Nothobranchius furzeri: one gene and its partners. The protein of the gene in region 4 interacts with the protein of the main gene of each other region in a biochemical or structural test. Links are inferred from orthologs where the notes say so. Each region holds a gene or a part of one and is shown on either strand. Other genes may lie near its edges.

What was found. The genes of interacting proteins can lie anywhere in the genome.
Region 1: the proteins of hif1aa (region 4) and mta1 form a complex in vitro, tested with the Homo sapiens proteins (2 studies listed by BioGRID). The link is inferred for Nothobranchius furzeri from reciprocal best matches to the Homo sapiens genes HIF1A and MTA1.
Region 2: the proteins of hif1aa (region 4) and rack1 form a complex in vitro, tested with the Homo sapiens proteins (2 studies listed by BioGRID). The link is inferred for Nothobranchius furzeri from reciprocal best matches to the Homo sapiens genes HIF1A and RACK1.
Region 3: the proteins of hif1aa (region 4) and epoa form a complex in vitro, tested with the Homo sapiens proteins (2 studies listed by BioGRID). The link is inferred for Nothobranchius furzeri from reciprocal best matches to the Homo sapiens genes HIF1A and EPO.

The regions. Positions count from the first base shown.
Region 1 is NC_091758.1:21,770,813-21,775,061, forward strand, and holds the start of mta1 (metastasis-associated protein MTA1), read right to left. Parts: upstream 2,801-4,249; 5' UTR 2,689-2,800; coding exon 2,661-2,688; intron 1-2,660. UniProt on the Homo sapiens protein: Transcriptional coregulator which can act as both a transcriptional corepressor and coactivator. Acts as a component of the histone deacetylase NuRD complex which participates in the remodeling of chromatin.
Region 2 is NC_091741.1:97,232,498-97,236,596, forward strand, and holds the start of rack1 (small ribosomal subunit protein RACK1), read right to left. Parts: upstream 2,801-4,099; 5' UTR 2,689-2,800; coding exon 2,580-2,688; intron 2,117-2,579; coding exon 1,945-2,116; intron 744-1,944; coding exon 596-743; intron 308-595; coding exon 212-307; intron 53-211; coding exon 1-52. UniProt on the Homo sapiens protein: Scaffolding protein involved in the recruitment, assembly and/or regulation of a variety of signaling molecules. Interacts with a wide variety of proteins and plays a role in many cellular processes.
Region 3 is NC_091742.1:83,888,565-83,892,615, reverse strand, and holds the start of epoa (erythropoietin), read left to right. Parts: upstream 1-1,251; 5' UTR 1,252-1,519; coding exon 1,520-1,541; intron 1,542-4,051. UniProt on the Homo sapiens protein: Hormone involved in the regulation of erythrocyte proliferation and differentiation and the maintenance of a physiological level of circulating erythrocyte mass.
Region 4 is NC_091758.1:31,049,315-31,053,899, forward strand, and holds part of hif1aa (hypoxia inducible factor 1 subunit alpha a), read right to left. Parts: intron 2,389-4,585; coding exon 2,198-2,388; intron 1,911-2,197; coding exon 1,759-1,910; intron 1,635-1,758; coding exon 1,550-1,634; intron 1,020-1,549; coding exon 910-1,019; intron 786-909; coding exon 598-785; intron 525-597; coding exon 418-524; intron 329-417; coding exon 181-328; intron 100-180; coding exon 1-99.

The DNA.
Region 1 (4,249 bases), about 9.3 Mb from region 4:
CGCAGTTTTCCGACCCCGTTTTGTGCGTAAGCAAGCCTGATAAATGAGGCCCCAGAACTTAGAGATGTGGTGGAATGGGAGATTCATCGTGTATGTTGCTATGTGATGCAGTCATGTTAATTTGGACCAACATGGACTCTGAGAAATGCATCTATAATCTTGTAGAATTCATTTCTGAAGGCATCTGCCTCCAGTAAGCTGTACCTAATAAAGTGACCAGTGGGTGGATGCATTTTAGGGGAACATTTTGCTGATTGGCTTGTTGCAGTTCTGAAAAATACCAACTAGCAGAGTCACCACAGCTTCCAGTAGAAACAGGGGCTTAATAATGGACTCCTGCTCCACAAATGCTGGGAACGAGAGATTAGAGCTAATTCTGTAATCTTGCACGAAAAGGCTTTTAAGACACTAATTTCAGGTTTTGGCACTTAATATTCTCACAGTTAATTTCTCAACATGTAGACACAAATAATTTAAATACATTTTACAACAAAAAGGACAGAATCAAAAAGGAAATCTACTTTTACTCTGATCAAGAAAAACAGACATTTTACATGTTAGCTGCTGTTTATCAGATGTGATGCTGCACCGCCTCTCAAAACTCTGGGTGTTTTTTCTCATAACGACGTTATTCAAGCAGATCAGAATCGGATGCAGGAAATAAAAGAATATTTTAAAATGAAATGCGTTTTAAGAACAGGTGCAGATTTTCTGTTGCAGCTCGAGTGGTTTGCACGGAGTTGAAGATAGCGGTTTTACATTAAACCTCAGGGAAAAAAGTTTGGACAGGGCTGCAGTTGATGGAATAAAATATGATTTGTGAGATTTCCCAAAACGTCACAGAAAACCTACTGCTGCAGCTGCGTGTGTGTGTGTGTGTGTGTGTGTGTGTGTGTGTGTGTGTGTGTGTGTGTGTGTGTGTGTGTGTATTTTACCTCAGCTGTTATGTAGATTAAACAAACCCTATTCTTAAGCTTGACACAACTTCTGTATAACAAACAATTATTAAGCATGGTCCTTTATTAGCCAATCACATTCATTTCAGGATGCATGCCCACTGACTAAATCCCTCCAATAAAAATTCTGGATTTCTACAATTTATAATAATAAAATCAAACCACCACGTACAGTTCCTCTTCCCATTTACTCAGCAATTTACTGAACTAGGTCTGAACTTGGTGGTCTGACACACTTCTTCAACATATTTTTTGGATGGGGACACAAGGAAAAAGGTGATACAGGCAGCAGATGAGTGGTTTGTGGCCAGCACAGTTAAAAAAATAAAAATAAAAAGACATCAAAGCCCAAGGATGCTTCTTATTATCTTGTAAAATTGCAGCCATCTCTTCAAGGGCAGCTCTTTGTTGTGATGCTGCTCTGAAAGGATCCTTGTTATCAGGCCTCATTTCTGGCCTTTTTTTAATCTAGATTATTACAACAGAAGAAAAATAATCCCAAAGTGTGTTTACTCAGCAATTAATAAGAGTTCATTGTTGTGGTTTCAGTTCAGTTTGGCCAAATTCAATTATTACTAGGTTTACTAGACAGACTCAACAATATTTTACTAAAATAACAACTTAAGACGTAAATGTGAGTGGTTTAGTGCCATTTGATATATATCACTTGCTGGAGTAAAGTGAAGTAACATGTGTTCCAAAATGTGCATTTTCAGCTAATAAACAAACAGCAAAGGAAAATAATCTTTGCACAACTGGTTTGAAAAACCTAGCGCATCAATAAAACTGAGTGGCATGAAGAAACTGAACAAAGTGACATTTGGTGACTGAATTGTTAACTTTCTACCCCTCTCTGGACTAATCCTGTTCTCACGCAGGTAGGCCTCCTTTAATTTGATATATGACGTTCACTTTGGGCTATTTCTGATGCTGTATCCGAGCCAAGTACAGTCACAGCATCCCTGAATTACAGAACAGTTGTCAGAGTAAATATGTGGTAATGTACAACAACACAGAAACGCTCACTATACAACATCATTCCAAACAGGAGTGGACACTAATCTGGGCACTAAAGTATGTGGAAAATAAATAAATAAAAACAAAAAGATCACGATTGGACACTGCCACGTGACTATCTTACACCTGTCTTACCTGAGTGGGACTCAAGAATCTTCATTAGGTATTAAGAGACTCCCTGGATGTGCAAAAAGCTTAATCTGGAATATTTTGTTGGTCATTTCTACATTTAAAGTGTTAAAACTAAATGTAGTGTAAAGTTTTTGTCCCGGCTGCCTCCTTGCATTGATGCCTATGCGGTTCCAGTAAAGTACTCACGATGTTCCTTACAGGAGGCAGCAGAAAGAACAATAGTTAGGTGAAACTTTCAGAAAACCCGTGACATGTTATTTAAAATAAACTAAACCGTCATGGAGGGTTCAGGTGTGCCAGAACACCGAGATGGCTCTCTGGGTTCATTAAGGGGGAAAACAGCAAAAGAAGCAAATGTTTAAGAGAACCGCTCGCTGCTCTTCATCACCATCCTCCTCCTCCTCACCATCATCTGCGAGAAGCACAAAGCTCTCCCAGCTTACGGAAATGTTTTTAAAAGACGAGCCACGCTCATAACGAGCTTCCGTGGGTAATGGCGAGTCCGCCGAGTAAAAACGCCACACGGCTCCGAAACGCAAACGCCCCAAAGCTTACCTCCAACCCGGTACATGTTGGCTGCCATGACTGCCCCCGGTCCCGGGCTTCCTCTCCAGGTAGAGGGGTGGCTCTCTGCTCTCTCCCGCTGCCGGAGCTGTGTGTTGGAAAATGGTGGATTGATCAATACGAAACAGACTGCCCGAGAGACCTTAAAGAGACAGTACACCTTTTCAGGAAACCCAACTTATCGGCACGGATAACAAAGGGCGCGTTAATCTCACTACTTATTACCTTTATAACATCGTCAGTGGCTAACTACGCCATTATTTCTTAATATATATCTCAATATGCGTCACAGTCACCGCAGTAGCCCACCGCCTTTCGGTTTAGTCGTGTTTTTGTTAATAGTTAAAGTAGTTATCTGGTAGTTAGAATAGTTATTAAGATAAAGTAAACTCGCCTGTTTTTGTAACTTTGTCCCAATTTTTTGTTCTCCCTCATCAACTGAAATATCGCGAGATTTGAGAGTAAACCCCTTTACGTGACCTCTGGGTCACGCTTGACGTTAGAAGGGGTGTAATTAATAATTATTTTATCGTCTACACTGCTGTGCTCAGTGAAATCAACAATTTAATTATTTTGCTATAAAAATGCAAACTGAATGCAATATATTTTAAATAAGCCCCAAAACTCAAGGAGTTGACCCACTAATTTCCCTTCCCTGGGACAAATAAAGCTTTTCATTCATTTCATTCGTCATTCACTATGTTTATGAACTGTACAAGGAGTTCATGGGGATTGTATATAGAAATGTATCATGGGTTTATTCGCTCATTTAATTCATTTCCAAATATGTGTATTATTTTAAAAGAAGCAGTTTAACTCTCATCTTATTCTGAAGGTGTTTACCGGCCTTAACAACACTAGCAGAACAATCTGTACAGATCATTTTATTAGCAAAAATTTACACGTACAAGTGAATTGTATCAGTGACTGAACCAAAATAAGGACACATACTGCTGTTGCCTAGACGTCAATGCGCAAAATAAAGTACACAGTGTTCTATCGAGGCAAAAACATGCCAAGTGACTCATGGAATGATAATTTGGAACATGCAAGGTTTTAACATTATAAAAAATATCCAGGGATTTCCATGACTCAATAGTTAAATGTTTGCGTTTATGTTGTCTTTTGTTGAAATGGTAAAGGAGAAATGTACTGTAGCATAATCCACCATACAAAATAAATTATACATTTGCTCTGCTTTTGTTATTTTCCCAACACAAACACATACTCTTCTTGGATCCTTGCAGCATGTTGCTACTTATGTATAAATAATACATAAATTGCCTCAAACACCCTGCAAGAGAAATTCTTCTGCTGTCAGAGAAATCATTAGCAAGTGTTAAATATGAGTGACACTCTGTGATGAGAGAATGCAGCATGGTTTTTCCACAGCTTTGTTTTTAAATCTGGATGTGAGTGTAGAGCCTCAGTGCAGGAGGAATGCTGTGGTGAACGCTACATATGATCTATACCATATGGAAGCTTCAATTACTGTGGCCTAACACAAGGGACTACAGTCTGCAGTCACATGACTGTTGCGGGCCAATCGTGTGTAGTTGCAGTGTGCACTCGTTAAGTGT
Region 2 (4,099 bases), on a different chromosome or scaffold from region 4:
CAGTGTGACCAATGTGGTTGGTCTTCAGCTTGCAGTTGGCCAGGTTCCACACCTGAGAGGCATCACACCCGAGACAGAACAAACATCAACATCCAACATGGAAGCTAATCATAAAAAAGGTTGTCTTACGCAAGTAGTCAGCTAATAAATGCAAACTAAGTTAAACCATCTAACCAGGACCAAACATTAGCAAATTACTAGTAAACCATACCTTGACCACCTTGTCCCAGCCACAGGAGACAATGATGGGGTTGCTGCTGTTGGGGGAGAAGCGAACACAAGACACCCACTCAGAATGGCCTTCATCCTGCAAAATCAAGTTTGAACAGTTTAAAGTTCAGCTCATCCCAACAATGGCTCACTTTAGCTCATGTAACCACCGAGACTTATTCCATGATCCTGACACACTACACACTTAAAACCATCATACAGATTTAGTCCACAATGCTCCAGCTGATGGCTGAGCTGTGTGCTCTACCTCAGAAAATGTAAAACTAGTTAAAAAAAAAAAAAAAAGCTTGAACAAAAACTAAATGAAAACCAAAGAAGGAACAGCTCTAAGCAGCAGCAGCAGCAGCATTAAGTGACAGCTCACCTGAATGGTGTACTTGCAGACTCCAAGAGTGTTCCACAGCTTGATGGTCTTGTCTCGGGAGCCAGATACAATCTGACGGTTATCAGCAGAGAAAGCCACACTCAAAACATCCTTTGTGTGTCCAACAAACTGACGGGTGGTGGTGCCACTAGAAAAACACAAGATTAAGACGTCCGATTAGAATAAAGCTATATTAAGTTTACAGTTTAAAATGCCTGCCCTCCTCTACTAATTATGGCCTCTACAAGCTACAGTCATTTAAGGAGTTAAAACAGTTTTTTTCCCCACTTGTATTCAAACAAATCACTTTAGTACACAAACCTTAATGCCGATCAATGACAATTTTTTTTAGGTTCAGTTTATATCGGGTTCCAGCACTTTAGCCAGAATCAAATTCCAGCTCCTCACTTAGATGATTAAAACTGTTCAAACATGGACTGTAGTTTTATTCCTGTATAAACCCCAAACCCATTTATTTAGATCTACTGTTCTCTTAAGTCACAACTAAGGAGTGTATAAAGTGATGAAGGTGTAGTAAGGACAATAACACTGTGGAACAACAGTGTCGGGTACAAGAAACTGGGAGAATTTATTTTATAGGATCTCTGACAAACATTGTAATTGTATATAACTGCATTTTTAAATGTCTGCTGTTTATTATTTAGTGCGAGATTACTGAAGTTCTATCTGTGGTACAAAACACTAGTATAAAAAGCTGTTGCACGGTCATGTACACGCAAATGAAGTTTGTTCACCAAGATTGGGTTTACACATGGTGTAGCTTAACTAGATGTCATTTCCCAACTGTTTTATGGCTTAAGTTATGTTCCCTGGCAACTTGGTATTTAGAGGTCATAAGTGCTGAAATGTTTGTAGCTCTAGTAACAAATACGCATTAGCGCGGACTGTGTGTTAACATCGGTTCAAACACATTTTCATTTATAGAACAAAGGTGACAAATCATATCTTTAAAACTATCCAGGATGTTTGTTACAACTTAAATTTAGAAAGGACATACTTCCAGCTAATACAAACATGCAAGTCTTTACCAACTTACTTATTTCTAAAAAGAAAAGCATTAACTAGTTTAAACTGTGTTCCACATAGATGCTTAGATGATGCAGATCAAGGGTCAGCAACTTTTTTCCTTGAGGGGTACCATCCTGCAAGTTCCACACGTTTCCTGCTCTAAAGGACCCAGATTAACTGATTTCATCACAACCTTCCTAAGTTGACTTCTCTAGATGCTCTCACACATTTAAATATGTTGGGAGCAGGTAAACGGGTAAAGAGATATATTTACAGGACAGCGGATCTGATGTAGAAGCTTTCTTCCTAGCTGTACTTACGTGGTGAGGTCCCACAGTCGGAGGGAGCCGTCCCAGGCGCCTGAGAGAGCAAACTGTCCATCCGAGGAGATGACAACATCACTTACAAAGTGAGAGTGGCCCCTCAGAGAGCGCTGAGGGATCCCATAGTTGGTCTCGTCACGAGTCAGCTTCCACATGATGATGGACTTGTCTGAAAGTTTAACACATAAGGTTCAGGACTCAGGAGTATTGCCTAAAGCAAAGAGCAGGTAGGTAGCATTAGCATGCGAAGCTAGCACTTAAGTTAATATCAAGTTAATATCACATTGCAGCGCTTGGTTCAAGGCCTTATAACCTCATGTCAAGTAGTCTGATGTTTAACTGGATGAATCAGTGTCGGTGCTATGTTGGTGTAAACCCAGGAGTGAAACACAGTAGATCCAGCTAATGACGCTAGAAAGCACAAGTTTAACTACACCAGGTTTCCTCCACTTCTGAAGTCGCAAATGTTCACTATAAGCGATTAATGAGCCTTTAGGCTGTTGTAATCACATTTCAGCGGTCTTCTGCCACTTCCGCAAAAATCGTATTTTTGTAACATTACCAAAGAGTCACTGCTAGCTTACAAAGCTAGCTGTAGCCATGTTGGCGGCTGCCGGCGGGGGAAGCCTCACCTCGGGACGCCGACAGAATCATGTCGGGATACTGAGGGGTAGTGGCGATCTGGGTGACCCATCCACTGTGGCCCTTCAGGGTCCCCCTCACTGTCATCTGCTCGGTCATTTTGACGAGGTTCGGTGGTGCCTTTTACAAGGATGGATTCGGATATTTCTCAGGTTCGTAAAAACCTAGGTCCTCATCGCATCTAGGCACGGAGGAAAAGGAAGTACAGACCCGGATGCAAAAACTAAGAGGGGTGAAGGGCTCGCAGAGCATTCTGGGATATGTTTTTTTCCCCAAGTCATCCAAGTGTGCTACAAGAAAAGACTGAAGGGGACTGTTTAGAAACATGATAAAACATTTCACTTACAACACATCACCATTATATATAAGTAATACACACTGATTTGGTTATTGGTAACAGCTGTGCACATCCCTGATATGTTTCTGTCTGAATGAATAAAGGAAATTAAGCTCTTACGAAACATAGCACCAGTAAAATAAAATGTCTGTGATGGACACAAATTTTCTGATTTTAGAATATTCTATATTTTACAAACGTCCGTATTTTTTATACTTTATGTTACACACACACACACACACACACACACACACACACACACACACACACACACACACACACACACACACACACACACACACACACGAGCTTTAATCCCATAATATTTGTTTCTTTTCATGTGAAAGGCGGCTTTAAAGTTGACGCCTTGATATATTTTATACCAGGGATGTCCAAACTTTCCTAGATAAGAGCCAAAATCAGCAAGTTAACTGTCCTTGTAGGCCACAACATATACATTTTTTAAATGCTAAAAATATTTATTCTTGCATTTGTACTCCCTAAAATTTGTCAAAATGGACTATTAAGTTTGAACATACAATGTTGGGGGGGGGGGGGGGGGGGACGACAGTGACATAAATTGCTCCAAGGGCGACAAATGAGGGCCACATACATGCCTGCTCTATACTTGTGTACTGATTAACAAACAATCTTTAAAATTTGAATTTTCATTTCATTTCACTTTATTTGTAAAGTCTCTTGTATTTATTTATTTATTTATTTATTGGTTCTTTTTTAAACACAGAGAAGAAAACTTTTCTTTCCTGTGTTTAAAAGAGAACCAAAAAAAAAATACAAGTTAAAAAGACCCAGAATGAATGCACAGAAGATTGTAATGTCCCTTCCACAATCTCATCAAACACCCAAGGTGCTGGACAATACAGCAGGCAACAAGTACAAATAAGACAATATAAAACAACCATAAAAACATATAACCTAATAAAAAAAGGCCAATTACAGACAAGACAATGATGCCACGCTACAAAATAATTAATGTTTTATCTCACATGTTGAACAACATTTGGAATCCTTCAATTTCCAGGCTTTCTACTGGTATGTTTTATGAATAATCTGATATTTCTATATGTAAACTACTGCACAGCTACACTATTTCAACACTGTTACATTAGGCTGAAGTGAGAATATTGGTAACAGTGTTGTGTGCTTAGAAAA
Region 3 (4,051 bases), on a different chromosome or scaffold from region 4:
CATGAACAATAGAATTGGCTTTAAAGACACCAGCTAAGAAGGACCCGTGGACTTCATGGACCAAGGAAACACGGATAGGCCTGCGTCAGAGCCTTTTTGGATCTGAGTATCATCGGTAAGTTAATGAGTTGCTTTACACTATATTCAGTCAAATGTGGAGTTAGGTTTCCATTGCTGTTCTGCTGACACTGAGCTGTGACTGAGCTTTGTTCTTGGGAAACCAGGCCAGTTTTAATCAACGAGTGAGTAAAGTCATAACATTTAACTCCAAACATGATTATTCTTGAGCTTTTCAGCAAAATGAACGTCCCAAGGAATTTTCGTTGAATAATAGCTGCTTTTTATTCCTGTGGTCTTCACTGAGCATCCTCTTCTTTGGATCTAAGTGTGACTGATCTTTTCAGAGGACAGCAGCTGCCTGGAAGCCACTGAACAACAATGAGCTGGAAGATGAGGACACTCGCAAAGGTGACCAGAGAGGTAGGCTATTTTTAAATGAGTGAAAACTTGATTTGTAGCTGACTGGAAACATCTTTATGATCAGGTAATAACTAAACTTAGCCATGTGGAAGGGGAGGGGTCTAAGTTTTCAATAATTTGCTTTGGTGAGACTGAGTTTTAAGCATTTCAGGACATGTGTCACTATATGATCTGATTAACAGGACAGGTACATGATGATTCTCTCATTCTGCTCATTGATCAGAACAGATTCTGTAACATGGGGCTCAGTGCCAGTCCCTGCCCTCTCTGATTTATGAATGAATCATACGTTTGCACATCTGATGGATGGTTTTCTGTTATTTCTCAAAATCGTGATAGAAAATAAACCCAATTCCCCCTCAGACGATGATGTTGAATGACGTTGCTTTAAGCCCCTTTTGAGGGAGGAGGGCGACTTCATTTAGTTTTGATCTGAAGGTTGATAAACAAATGATTTGGACAACAATAAAAGACAAGATGTTGCCCTAAGGGAGGAGTTATCATTGTCAAGGAGACAATGCAACCTTATTTTTAAAGTCATTATTAAACAAATAAAACTGCGGGAGTTTGTAGAAACACCTACCGGATAAGTGCACATGCGATCCACAAAAGAGCTGGTTTCTAATTAATGGGGAATAGACGGACCTGTTGGCCGGACGGCGCGGACCCTGACAGGGGGCTATGCGGACTCCGCTATGGACCGACCCCGTGAGTTCTGACATGCCTTCGCTGGTTTTCCCCTCTACTCTGCCTTTTGCTAGTTAGTCTATTTTCATGCTTTACGCGGTGGGGGTGCAGCGTCACGGGTTGATGTTTAATCGCGCAGAGAGGCGCGTGCTCGCTCGCGTTATCACCGTCCGGCTCCTCAGGGAGGTAAATAAAAGCTTTTCCCTGCACGCAGCAGTGATGAAAGTCCGGTAGGTGAGCTGAGCGCTCTCTCGTCCTGTTTGGATACCGGTCTGCTGTCCCGAACCGAACCGACGCTCCGTTTGTTCAGTTTTACCACGATGTTTGAAAAAGATGCTGATCTTTTTTGCGAATGTTGCGGAAAACTTGTAAAGGTAAGAGCGCAGATTTGCAGGTGTGAGCCACGTGCAGCAGAGCTCAGATTACCATGCTGGATATGAATGAACGCACGTATACTTTAGGGAGATGTGTATTAATGCAGATTGTTGGTCTCCTGAACGAGAACACTTGCACCAAAAGTCAGGTGATTGTTTACCGAGGTTAAATGCACGTGACCTCCAACTTTTATCTCTAAAAATAGATGTGAGTAGTAAATAATATACCTGAAACATTTTGCACAAAGAGGCGAGTCAAGAGAAGAAAAGCTTGAAATAGTTTCACAACACTGTTAAGATGGTTTTTAATATGCTGTTTTTGTACAAGAAATAGGACCAGATTTCCTCTTTGTATCAAAGTCTTCAGGATTGATCTTCTAAAACGTGAGAATGACTTTTGATAAATGAAGGAAACTGTTATGGGGTGGATCAGTCCGAGGAGATTCAACTGTAGTAACTATATACATTCAGATATACCCGTTCAATAATCTTATGTTGAAATAAATTGACTGCTAGTTGTAATGGCAGCAGAAGTGTGCATGGCAGGTCTCCCACGTGGAGTTGGCATTAGCATAAATTTTAGGCCTGAAAGGTTGTTTTAAATGCCTGTTGTGTGATTTTTTTTCTTTCCTTTTTTAAAAGTCGTCAAACTTGAGTTGGCAATGTTTCGCAGTAAAGATACTACGGTTTGAACTTTATTTCTCCTTCCATTCGTCATTCTTAATAATGCCAAGAGTTCAAAGGGATGAGGAATAGAATGGGGCAGCGAATGAAACTAAATCAGCTGGACTGTTTTCTGGGTCACCGTGCATCCAGTCATCCATTTTTCCATCGTCTTTACCTGCTTGATGTGGTAAAAGGTCACAGGGAGCTAATTCTTGTCTTCAGTATCAATTGGCGAACTCCTTGACCGGTCACCAGTCAATCACATGTCCAACTAATTAATTCATGGGAAAAAGTGAAATATTTCAGGTCAGTATAGCTTTCAAAACTTGGACTCTTTATGAATTTCACTCAAATTCTCCATGAAAGCTACAATGTCAGATATGCTAAACAAGCTAACTTAAACATTTTTTTCATGCATATTGACATTTTAACATTGTATAGCTATAAATATTTTGTGCAGTTGGAAATAATGAGGTGTTCTCTTGCATTTGTCTAAATACCTCTGCCAATAACACAACACGGCCTGAAAGCAACTATTGGACCACTCATTACACATTTGCATATTTTGCAACAGAACACCACTGGTATGAGAGGTACTCCACTCAATATCAGAGAAGGAAAAACAGCTTTAGAACACACTACCAGAGTCCCAAACAGAAAAACATCATTTGAAATCATGTTCAACAAAAGGCTTTTGGACCTAGAAAATGGCGACTGGTGTTTAGCACTCTCTCGGTTATTCTAAACGATTTCATAAGACACACCACGCCATCAAATCAAAGTAATACTGCCGCCACAGTGGGCCTTATGAAAGCGCTATGGCATCATGACGAAGCATGAACTTTGTTGCCACCAAGCTTGGTTGTAATATTACATTAACTCTGGACGTGTGAATGAAGATTTTGAAGATTAGCCATGGTGCAACAGAGGGTGGTGTCATGATCACGTGTGGAATGTCCGCAGAGCTGCTGCCGGCAACTATATTGAAAAGGAAATTACACATGGGCAGTCAATTTTACTTTTGTTAATAGAATCAGCTGAGACGGTAAACTGGAGCAGTGCAGAGCACCTGGAGCTTTTCTCCATTACAGCTGGAGCTCAGATCACCAAACAGTTCACAGGGTGGAGGATAGATTCCTTTAGAAGCGGCTTGTCAAAAAAAAAACTTAAGCAGCCGAAAATTGATGAATTCTGATCTTATCAGGGGTTGGGTCGCGGGGGCAGTAGCCTAAAGGTTGGTTTATGCTTGACGCGTCCGCGAGGTCCACACGGCTCTGCTCGGAAAAGTTGCGTCATTTTGCATCATCTTAACAACCACGCCCCTCCACCGCACCACCGCACGGCCCAAAATTTCCGCAACACGCACCTAGGAAATTTTCTAACCACGCGGACGGTCGGACACGGAAAAACATGGCGGACCGGCAAGAACTACTGTAGTATGGCAGAGGTTCGTAAATACAGACATTTGTATGATTCAGCTCTCAGAGATCACCGTGATCAACATGTTGTTAATAATTCTTGGAGAGAAAAAGCTCGCACTGACGGAAAAGACGAGGACGCTGTTAAAAATGCTGGAATGCCATGTTGTAAACAGTAATTTCTACTTCTACTATGGTGTAGTGTTGGATGCATGCTGTAGAGCTCCATGCTGCCCCCTACAGTTTGGGAGAATATTGGCTCACCGCAGAGACAAGCCGCACGAACCATAAACGCTGCGAGTTGTGAAGCGCGTTCCAGCCGCGAGCCGCATCACCAAGTGGAAAGTGAATGCGTCAAGCATAAACCAAGCTTAAGCAGGAGGCTCAGACTTCCCTCTCCCCATCCACTTGGACCAGCTCCTCTGG
Region 4 (4,585 bases):
TCAACTACGAGCTCCTCTTCCTCCTGCTCTTCCTCCTTCACTGGCTTCATGTCCTCAGTCTGCCCCAAAGACAGGATTAGTTTGTCCTCTTGGATCCCACTGTTGGACAACCACAAGATGTCAGTATGCTACTTTCTGATCCGATATCTCCACATGACATGACGATACTAGTGCAAGTACCTGAGGACAAAGTTGACACAGACGACACACTGTGGCTGTGAGTTCTTGTTGTTGTAGATAACGGTGGCCTGCGTTTCCACCCAGACAAAGCCTCCTCTTTTGGCCAACATCCGGTACTGACCTGTGGTGACCTGGCCCTTCGCAAACACTGCAAACAGCAGAAAACACGGTCAAAAGTCACGAAATAAACAGCGACGTTTTCCAATTTTACTCTAGATCTATGCTCTTTGTGCTTACAGTGGTGGTGAGTCTTTGTGAGGTGGTCAGAGTCCAGAGCGTGATAGTACTCGTACACAGAACGATTCAGCAGGTCTTCTGGATCGTATCCCATCAGCTCAGTGATCCTGGGAACAGAAACAATGTTGTAGTACCCACACTGAGCACTAGGTGTCCCCGTGGGACTCCAGATTCTCTCACCTCTCATCACAATATGTGAACTTCATGTCCATGGTGTGGCGGCTGAGGAACGTCTTGGTGTCCAGAGGGACCTCGATGTTGGAAGGGTGGGGGATGGGGTCACAGATCAGAACCAGGTAGGGGAGCAGTGGCTCCATCTGCTCTGCTCGATGGTCATGAACACACATGTGACCCGAGCAGTGAAGGACCTACAGAAACACGTTTTCAAACCAAGAGGGAAACTTTAATCTTTCTGTAATTATTATTTTTTACTTTAAGTAACTTTTTTAATTTAGGAGCCCGAGATGCTCCACAGCTTCAACACTTCTTTACCTTCCATGTAGCCGACTTGACATTAACCGTGCGACCTCTGCTTGTGAGGGTGCATTTCATCCTCAGAAAGAAATTCCGTTCATTATTTGGTTCCTTGCTTTTTTTGGAGCCTGGAATCACAAAATTAAACAGATATGAATCCAGAGTGAGGCAGAGTAAGCCAGCAGTAGATTGCTCTTTTTTATTGGTCCCAACTCAACAATCTACAAACTGCCAACTGATAAAATTTGCATCAAAAGGAGACATTTGCTCTGATGCTGTGGCCTTGTGGTGAGCTAGAGGATAAAATGGAAATAGCTACCAGCAGTTAGAGCCGAGGCGGTATCAGTGAGCAAAGAAATAACAAAAAACACAGGTCCTAAATGTAAGAGTGAACCGAAGCAGAGAGAAGATTCAGCAAAACTTATCTCACTAACGAGAAGCAAAGCAAAGATCTGTTATTGATGATTAAAAGGTCGGAAGATTACTCAGCCACTGCTCAAAACCGGAGTGGATTTTTGTGTCGTTACTAAGCAGAGCTGACCACAGAGTGAGTTGGACTTTCTACCATCTGGAGCACCAACACACCCGACAGAGAGCTCTGTGTGTGCGCGTCTCGGTTTCTCTACACATTTGTACTCTTCAGTGCAACACTGCTCACCTGTTCTACAGAGGAGCATCTCTCTCAGCTCCTCCTGGTCGCAGGGATGTGTGAAGTCAAACACACTGTGGCCAGTCAGGTCAAACTGCAAAGGCAAACAAACAGAAATATACTTTTAAAACACAAATATATAAATAGAGCTACCAAGAAGTATTCATTTAAAGCTTAAAAATGTGCACTTATTTTTTAATTCCCTGCTTCAGACCCACCTGCGCCAGCCCAAGACACTTGCTGACATTCTCCGAGAGATAAATCATATCGCCGTCTTCAGACAGCACCATGAGGAAGCCCTCCAACGCCTTCAGGTAGGACCCGTTCAGCTGAACATCAAGCTCAGTTTCCCCCTCTTCCATTGGCTTATCTGGAGCATTGAGAGAGGGAGCAAGGTGGGTGATAAGCTAAAGGACAAATAACCGGTTCAAACAGCTGCAGACACAGAAAAACCACTCCTCTAGCCCCAGGTGTTTCTGCAGAGAGATTATGGCAGAATACGCAGTACCTCCTTTGTGTTTTCCACTATAGGCTACATGTAAATGAAGTGAATTACTCTGAAGTCAACAAGATAACAAATATGACAAGCATACTGCAGGTACATGGTTAACAGAGCAGTGGAATGGTTTATAATCATCTGTCGCTACAGATGCTGACCACTGCAGAGAAGGTTCCTCATGCGCAGGTAGCTGATGGTCAGCCTCATGATGGAGGCCTTGTCCAGGCTTGAGCTGGTGCTGTGGGGGAGAGGCAGCTGCTTGGCCAGCTCATAGAACACCTCCGACTCCTTCCCACGGCGGCATCTTGCTGCATCCCTTGATTTCTCCTTCCTGCGCTCCGAGCTCACCCTGCAGGAGACAGGAGGTGGATCAGCCTCATGCTGGGTTTGTTAAACGTAAAAATCCCTTTTCCCAAAACTGAAACATGTCTGCAGAGGCCAGCGCAGCTGGAGCATTCAACAGGCTGTCTCAGCCCAGCCAGTGCAATGCAAGCGTCCTATTGGCTGCTGAACAAACGAAATAGGACTCGCCCACTCAAATGACTACACAGGAAAGAGTCAGAGCTCAGCCATCCCCCCACCCCCATCCCACACACTGATTCAGACATTTTACAGTGCCATTTCGGCTAATGTGACCACCGCTGAATCAAAGCAGGGCTATTGATTCTTCAAGTGACTGAAATCACTACACTATAAAAACTTAATGAGACAAAATTGTTAGATTCAAGGTAAGAACAAGAAGGGGTGCATCAAATGGCCGCTTTCATTCAAAAAATGGTTGTGGGTTTAATATTATTTTGAATGATGTTTGCTGTTGTCTTGATTCAGAATCAAAAACAAAAGAAAAACAGACGATATTTGGAGAAGGAAGGCCTTTTGACACAACACTGGTCTCGCTCGGCGGCCATGTTTAAAATGTTCACTTGTTCACTCTTTTTATTGCTCATTGTCAATGGCGTGTCCAGTGAGTGGTCTGGAGCAGCATTTGCCACTCTTGGAATCTGACTGGCCACCCCAATGAGTTCCACTTAAATTGACATTAAGTTGTCCACAAAAAAATAAGGGTTAACCCCTAAAACAGTAGTCGACAGTATGGACTTTTAACATTAGTTTCTAGTCACAGGCCTACAGAACATTTGTGTATTATTAATTATTGTTTTCATATTGACAAAAATAGTATTCATAGTCCTGGTCCAAACTCACTCCAGTAGATGGCGGTAATGCACCAAGAAGTGGCTTGCTAACCACCTCAAAACAAGAAGTTGAAGAATAATGCAAAAATGTATTATTTTGTGAGGGGTGACAACCCCGCAGATCAAAACAAAAAGTATAACTATAGGTGCCACCCATGCATAAATTAGTGCCCCACTGGAGCCACCCATTTTAAAAGGCCTGGACACGCCACTGCAAATTGTGCCTCCATTATGTGCTTATAAAAAAATTTTTTTAAAGTCTGTGCTGTACTTCCTGTTCCACCTTATGTTGCTCAACATTGCGGTAAATAAACATAAACAAAATCGATTTAGAAAAACCGCGATGCCTCAAAAAACAGATTTCATCTCCCATTCATATGCCATAAATTTATATCACCAATCTTTGTTGCAAACTGCACCTCAGTAAGTTGAAATACATTTAGATGACATGTGAGCAGCCAGACGACCAAATGAACAGCTTAAAAACCCACAGCTATGAAATGCACACCTGATTGAAATTGATCTGGCACGCACTTACAGCACTGAATAAGGCCCTTTTGTTTTTGCCAGAAAATAGACCAGATAATGTAATTTGCAGGAGGCTAATTTTAGTTAACAGGCAGGCTGTGTTTCACACGAAAGCTTTCCATTACACACACGTGATGCACAAACCGATCCACGATAAAGCTAATTGGTCCTCTGCGGCTGGAAGATTTTCAATGCTGAGCCGAATCACCGTCCCTCGGGAAATAGGCTAGGTGCTGATTTAATCTAGCGAAAAGCATGTGGGTCAAAATTTCTATTCGGTGACATGAACACACAAACAGAAAAACACTCAGTGTTGCTGCTATTAAGTTCCATTTACAATTGGGAAGCTACAAAGTTATGCCAACGTAAATACTTTCTTCCTTCAAAGTCAGCGTTCACATTCGGAGGGAATTATATTCCAACTCATCCCAAAAAATTATTAGCATCCCATCCATGAGACACACGGGAAAACCATTTCTGCAAAGTGACGAGTCCAGTTTTATTCGCCACACCGTTGTGAACCTCGCACTCACAATAATGACTGATAAATACTCGTCTGTAAAATAGTAGTGGCTGTTCAGTCCCTTTATGGGAGTCCTGTAACATCTGACTAAAATACAACTTCATGTAATGGAGACAAGGTTCATGTGGAAGACAAAGCCCCCCCCCCCACCCCCCCCCCCCCACACACACAGGTGGTGAATGTATTCATACTAAACAGCAGATTGTCTAAAGTAGGGGTCTGAAGCCCTTAGTACCTTCCACAATGGCTGCTAATAACAGAGGCTAAAACAATAAAACAACTAACTCATGTTTATATCTATA